Drosophila melanogaster: one gene and its partner. The protein of the gene in region 2 interacts with the protein of the main gene of each other region in a pairwise test. Each region holds a gene or a part of one and is shown on either strand. Other genes may lie near its edges.

Region 1 (3,754 bases), on a different chromosome or scaffold from region 2:
CAACACACACACACACACACATGCACAGCTCCTCCAAGGGGAAATGGGAGGTGGTGGGTGGCAGATGGGGGTGCTGGGCGGGTGCAAGGGTGGCGCCTTGCCCTCAGCACGTGGAGACGCACTTTGGCAAAAGCAATCTTCTAAACAGGATAAATGTAATTGCGCATGAATTTCTACGCATATTTCGGCGTCGCTGTCTGAGCTGCAAATGTTTGTTACCCATTTGTTTGGTTGTGTTTTTTATGCTCGCTTTTCCCGTCGCTGAAAAGCGTTCTCCGACATTTCGAGGAGCTGTCACCCCATTGGCCCTCCACTGGCCACGCCCCCAAAGAGAGTGCTCTCTCCGGTCTCGCCGTCTCTCTCTTTCGACGGGTAATTGACTCGCATAATGTTTGTTTTGTTTTGAGCAAATCGTTTGCAACACTCTTTGAATGCCTCGTGGTTGTCTCATAAAAAGCGAAAGCATTTAAAAATTCAATTTGCCCTCTCTCTCATTCTCTCTCTCTCTAACTTTTTCTTGCTCTCACCCGCTCTTTTTCTGCAAAGTTTGCAGAGCTCCTTCGCAAAAATGGCCGCCTGTTCGCTTTTTGGGGGAGGTTTTCTCTTTGGGGAACGGAACGCTGTGGAATGAAACATGCTATAAGGTAGAAAGCTCAGAGATTCCAAATAAAAGAAGAAACGGGAATGCATTACAATGACATGAACGATACTAAATATAACTTAATACGTTGGGAAATTGCTTACATATTTTTAATTATTTAAATATAATTGTTGAAAATCTTTCACTTAATTTCTTAAGGATACCTTCTATCCTCGTATTTTTGATAATATCGTTTTTGATTAACGTTGTTCTTCACCATTTCGTTATCAAACATAATAAATACATTTGATATTTTATACATTTGATAACACCCACAAAACCTCTTTTACTTTTCTTTGCATAATTTATAAGTTGCTTGTTTATTTCTTTCGATATTTTAGCAATTCAATGATTTATCTATATCACCGAACCCCATTTGTTGAAACTTTCACCGCTCAATCTGCTAACCGCAAGGTTGCAATCGACTGGTGCATTTTCGGCACACACTTTTCTGGTCGAAAAAGTTTGCATCTGGCTGGCTGGGAAATTTCAATGGCGCCACAGAGCAACACTTGACCCCTGTTAGGTGGCAATTGATTGATTTTATATTGGCATTTCAATAGACACCAGCCGAGCGAAGCGATTCGAGTCGAGCCGAGTGCGCCCCCACTTTAGACGCGTTCCAAATGCCAAGTGTTTCCCATTCGGGGGGTAGGAAAACCAAAGCGCACTCCACCAGCACCGCAGAGAAAAAATAGTAAAGGAGGAAAATGCGAAAAGTGTCTGTCGATGCGGTTGCAGTGCAATTGTCGAAATAAACGAAAAGAAATTCCGAACTGCAAATGGAATGAAAAAGAGCGGCAGAAGGGGTGGGCCACCAGGCGGTGAAAGAGAGGGACAGCGAGAGCGATAGAGAGAGAGTGGGACACACCCTCCCAGGAGGGGTAGCAAATACGCAAGTGTGTGTGTGAGTGCGGAAAACCATTTAGCGCAAAGACCAAAAGAATTTGCAGGGCTGCCAGCCAACCACCTCAGTCTCAGTTTCAGTTCCACGCTCTCCGGACACGAGACCGGGGGTTAAAAATCCAGAGACTGAAACAATAAAAACACTAAACGATCGCTTTGCCACACACAAACACAAGCACACACACACACGCAGACACACACAAGCACTCGCATACATACAGAGACAGAAAGGACGAAGGACTCAGAACACAGAACTCAGGACTGCGTCTGTTAACAGCCGCATTTAAATTCAAATGCGAAACGTTGATCAAACGGTGCAGACGTGTTTCTCCCAACGGTAGCGCTCGGCGTTTTCCCTTAACGAGTTTTTCGTGGCACGACTGAAGTGTACAAGGTTTGGAAAATTCTTTATTTTCCTAACAAATATATATAAAACAAAAAAAAAAAAACACACACACAAGTGCAAGTTGAAGAACAAAAGTGCTGAATTAAACGTTTAAACTGCAAATCTAAGCAAAAATCTCAAGCTATGTCTTCCTCCGAGGCCGAAGTTGACATCAGTGTGGTGTCCAGTCCGGAGCCGAGTCCTTTGGGCGCCGCTGCCCGCGACAGTCCGCTGCTGGCCCGCTCGCCGGCCCGTTCCGCCGACGGCAGTTCGCCCCCGGCCACGCCTACCCATCGCTCCAATACGCCCAACACGGCCGCCGGCACGCCCACAACGTCCGCCTCGGGCGGCAATCACTTCCATCACAGTCCCAGCGGAGGCGCTGTGCCGCCGGCGGTGTTGCACCATCATCTGCAGCACCATCTGAGCAGCCTGGGCAGCCATCCGGTGGCGCTGCATCACGCGCTCCACACCTTTGGCCACTTGCATCCCGCCCACGGGGCCACACATCCCGCCCTGCTGCAGCACGCACTCACGCCCACCGGCCAGCAGCAGCAGCAACAGTTGCAGGTGCAGCAGCAACACCAGCAGTCGCATGTCGAGCGCCTTAGTCCGCCAATGAAGAGTCCGGAGCGGAATGGCGGCGATGAGGTGCAAGGACACAGTCTGAACAACAACAACAGTAAGGCCCTCAATCACAACAACACTTGCGCCTCGGCGGCCGCAGCGGCGGCAGCAGCAGCGGTGGCAGCGGCCAACCTGAGCAACAACAGCAACGACAGCAACGGGAGCAGCGGGGGCGGCGGCGGCAAGAGCACCACCGGCTCCAACGGATTCACCAGCTTCTCCATCTCCAGCATCCTGAGTCGCAGTGAGCCGGCCAAGAAGAACGGCGCCGCCGGACTTATCACTCCGATCCCGCAGTTGCCGCAACCAGGAGCCGGCGGTCCACAGGATGCGGCCATGTTGTCCAGGTAATTAAAAAACATTCCAGACTTGCTCTAGTCAAAAATAGCCCTCCCATTTCAAATGTGATTAATCTTGTAAATATGAAGTCGCCAAATTTAAAAATCTTAGTGTCAACATTTTACTTCAATTCATTTTAACAATTTAATCTGCAAAAATTTAGTCCATCCATCTGTCATATATAATTAGTTACTTCTGACGATATTCAGCTATTCCGCCTAATTTTGATCCGCAAGATATTTTAAAAAAATACAAACTCGAACTAAAATTTCATTCAAATTTTAACCCTATAATTACTGAAATTAAATGAGTATAATTTCATATGCCCAAGGATTTCCCATTGAATACCTTTTTTTGTAATAATAAAAATCACTCGTCTTAAGTACCATACCCATTTATTGCTCAGTGTAGGCGACCCAGATTAGGACGTTCGCCGGCGAACTGAAACCAAAAAGTCAAGCCTTGCCTCAATGAGCCCAAAACCCAAAGAGGCTGCCATTCCACTTGTTCGCCCTCGGGTTGGGCCAATTTTGTATAATCGTCCTAGGGGAAGACAAGGCAAGGTGACACAAATCTCTTCGCAGGAAGTGCACAAAGAGGAGAAATGGGATGGAGACGGACTGAGATGGTAGCCGGGAGATGGTCGATAAGACCGAAAATTGTTGGGCAAACGTTACACGAGACATTAAGTGGGTGAAGATGCAAATGGCTAAAGTACCATGCCATTGTGCTCCGAGAATCTAACGATTCCAAATTCCAGATGCCAGACAGATAAAGCAAATCCAATGGAACCGTTTTTAGTTGCACTGGACGCTAGCTGACCTCGAATATATGCAGAAAAGGTCTAAACCATTTTT
Region 2 (3,754 bases):
ATACAACTTTTTGCTTGAATAAAAAGAAAGATCAGTTCTGAACTATTTTTGATTTCCAATACCTAATTAAAAAAGTTCCGAAATTATTGTAACTTATTTAATTGCGGATTATATTTCTATAAAAATGAATGCAAGCACAAATTAATTTGCAGAATCAGCCGCTTAGAAACCATCCTCATCATCCTCGGCCATCTCCTTGGCCAGCTCAAGGTCCTGCTGCTCCCGCTCGCGTCTCTCCTCGGCGCTCTCCAAATCCTTGCCGTAGGACTTTGGGGGATAGCGCATGGCCTTAACGCTCTGGTTGTGCAGGTTCAGGCAGAACGAGATGCGCTCGTGAAAGGCCAGCTGCGGTTCCCGGGTGCTGTAGATGTCCGTACTTTCCTTGCTGCGCATGAAATTCTGGGCTGGGTCCAACGTAGCCTCAATCACGCCGTCCCGTATAGCCTTCGATACAATAAACTCGGCATCCTCCGCGGAGTCTAGCATTAGCCGCTTGGCAATGTCTTGCGGCGAGATGCGTGAGTACGATAGTCCGATGGAGCGGATTGCCGTCTTGATCACATTGTGGCGCAGCCGGATAATCAGGGTGAATGTGTGGTCCAGTTGGAACTTGGGTCCGTATTGGGATACCACGTCGCCGAAGCGCTTCAAGTTGCCCAGACGCACGGCCTGCGTGAGCTGGAAGTAGGCACCAAGAGATTGGCGAAGACCGGCTTGCCGGAACACCACACGCTCCGGGATGTTGCCCAAAAGCAGCTCCACAACGATAATTAGCTTTTGAACCGTCTGACGAAAGCCGATGGCAGCGTGCTGCGGCGACTTACGCAGGGCCTGGACCAGATGCTTGTGGGCATCGCTGTACTCCAGCTTAGCGGCCTTAATCCGACCTAGATAGTACAGGAAACGCGCCCATTCATTGTTGCTGGCCGATTCCGGGTAGACGGATTTCTTTACCAGCTTGTCGGCTTGGTCGTACAAAGCATAGTGCAAGTAGTTGCGGAGCAAACAGTTAATAAGCACCGCCTGGCCTTCAAAATCATTACGCAGCGTAGCGGTGCGCAGACGAGCGTGCAGGAACGAGCGTATGCCTTCCAGTGAGTTTTTTAGCTCCGCCACTCTTGAAAAATAGAAGTAGGACTTGGCACCAATCAGATCAAGGGTGCGTCGGTTTTGGATGGAGATTTTGGCCATTAGGGCGTCGGCGCTAATTCCGGCCCGCTTTAAATCACTGGCGTCGATGAGCTTGACCAGCAGGAGCAGGTAGAAGTAGGCATCGACCTCGGCGATTGGAGCCTTGGTGGCAACTTGTTTTTTGGGAACATCGGGCAGCTCGGTGGCGTCTTTCTCCACAGCGGGCATCAAAGCCACGGCCGCCTCACGATCTGCACCAGCGGGGTAAATACTCTGTGCAAGATTCCGGAAGACGACGCCGTTCAGCTTGCGACGAGTGTTGGGCAAATTGCGAAGGACGCGCAGGATGAAGCTGTTGGCGGAAATGAGCCATAATAAGGAAGGGACAAGATTTTAATTCTTGCACTACTCACCGCGACTCTTTCGAGGCTACCCCCTTCTCAATCTGACGAATCTGCTCGCGGATCTCCTGCACGGCGGCCACATCTTGGTTCTTCTTCTCGTCAGCCAGCGTCTCCGCCGTTGGATCCACCTCCATCTCCACGTCGTTAGCACCGATGTCCGTTGCGTTGGTCATTTTGTAATGGAACTCTCAATTTACTGGGGTCACAAATATAGCCGACTTTTCTTTTGTTTTTCTCAATCCCAATCAAAAATGCCTAGTAATGTCGCTTCTTCTTCTTATTCGTTTTCGGCTACAGGCAGTGCTGGTAAATTTAGTTGGTTAACAGAGCTGTTAAGCCGTTACGTTTCAATTTATCGATACGTTTTACGGTACACTGAGCGAACTTTCAGTCTCATATGTTATAGGAATTTATTTTTAATGTTTTACAGTAAATGTATCTATTGCTTTAATTTGGGTTAGGAATTTCTTAAGTTACGCACTCAGTAAAAGCGTATTTTTATTTAAATTGCAATAAAACATTACCACAATTCCGTTAAGCCTTTTCTTAAGTTACGCACTCAGTAAAAGCGTATTTTTATTTAAATTGCAATAAAACATTACCACAATTCCGTTAAGCCTTTTCGATATCGATACTCCGATAACATCGCACGTTATTACTATTACAAAATAACACAAAATAAAAAATTAATACGGAATATGAATTAAATTAAAATTAAAGAGAATAAAATGTTGCGGTACAGACAAGTGGTGGGTCTCCTTCAGCGCCGTAATTTCTCGGCCGGAGCAACGAGCAATGGAAGTGGATCTTCCGGGGGCGACAAATCCGGCGAAGACCTGCACCCCATACGACGAACACTCCGTTTGCTCGGGAACGATATGCGCAAAGTTAAGGAGTTCTTTGTACCAAAGGAACCGGAGACCGAGAAAGTTCCCATTCCGACACAGAGCCAGTTTCACTTTTCAGGGGAGCGCGACAAGAGCAAGGAAGCCACTGTGCCGGATGACTTCCAGACCCATTGCGATGTGCTCATCATTGGCGGCGGTGGAGTGGGCAGCTCCATCGCCTATTGGCTGAAGGAGAAGGCCCGCGACGGTCTTAACGTTGTGGTGGTCGAGAAGGATGACACGGTAGTAAAATGATGTGTACCAGTCTACCCCGAATATTTAATTTGCCTTCCACATATTTCTAGTATGCCCAGTCAGCCACGCGTGTTTCGGTGGGCGGTCTTTGTCAGCAATTCTCCCTGCCCGAAAACATCCAAATGTCACTATTTGCCGCAGACTTCCTGCGAAGCGCAAGAAAACACTTTGGCGAGGAAGTGCCTCTCCAGTTTACGCCCCATGGCCATCTGATGCTCGCTGGCGAGGAGCACGCGGAAAGCCTGAAGCGCTCCTCTCAGCTACAAAACGAACTGGGTGCCCGAAATGAACTTCTCACTGCAGATCGACTGACTGCCAGATTCCCCTGGCTAAACACCAAGGGCATCGCTTTGGGCTGTCTTGGTCTGGAAAAAGAGGGCTGGTTTAATCCGTTGGCACTTCTGAGCAATTTCCGACGGTCAGCCAGTGGCTACGGCGCCCATTTTATCAGTGGCCAGGTGGTCGACTTCGAGTTCAAATCCCAAACGGACATTTCTGTTGTCACAGATCTTGGTTCCAACGAGGGTGCCTACACGGGCTTGGAAAAAGCGGTCATCCAACTGCCCGATGGTACGCGACGCACTTGCAAGTTCGCCCTGTGTGTAATAAGCGCCGGTGCTAGTTCCGAACAAATCGCGCGATTAGCAAGGATAGGCGTGGGTCCAGGAATACTTCGGGTTCCGCTGCCCATCAACGCACGCAAGCGATACATGTACGCCATCAACTCGCAGGCCCAAAGTGCACCCGGAATGAATATGCCCATGACAATAGATCCGTCGGGCATCTTTATTCGCAGAGATGGCCTGGGCGGCAACTATATTTGCGTGCAAGATTCGACGGAAGAGTATAATAGCGCGATGATTGATCCGCAATATTTCGCCCAGCACATCAGACCCCATTTGTATAATAGAATTCCCGTTCTTGGAGAAGCCCAAGTGGTGGATAGCTGGGCGGGCTGCTATGATCATAACGTATACGACGAGAACGGCATTTTAGGAGCTCACCCGTACTACAACAATCTGTACCTAGCCACCGGTTTTAGCGGACACGGAGTACAGCAATCTCTGGCCGTGGGCC

The links.
Region 1: the proteins of l(2)37Bb (region 2) and Hmx interact in a two-hybrid assay, tested with the Drosophila melanogaster proteins (one large-scale study listed by BioGRID).

Annotation. Positions count from the first base shown.
Region 1 is NT_033777.3:17,557,289-17,561,042, forward strand, and holds the start of Hmx (H6-like-homeobox), read left to right. Parts: upstream 1-1,641; 5' UTR 1,642-2,075; coding exon 2,076-2,905; intron 2,906-3,754. UniProt on the Drosophila melanogaster protein: Transcription factor involved in specification of neuronal cell types.
Region 2 is NT_033779.5:19,050,008-19,053,761, reverse strand, and holds the start of l(2)37Bb (lethal (2) 37Bb), read left to right. Parts: upstream 1-2,149; 5' UTR 2,150-2,263; coding exon 2,264-2,665; intron 2,666-2,727; coding exon 2,728-3,754. Other genes in the region: Rpn3 (regulatory particle non-ATPase 3), read right to left, coding at 163-1,483, 1,545-1,708. UniProt on the Drosophila melanogaster protein: Involved in the assembly of the mitochondrial membrane respiratory chain NADH dehydrogenase (Complex I).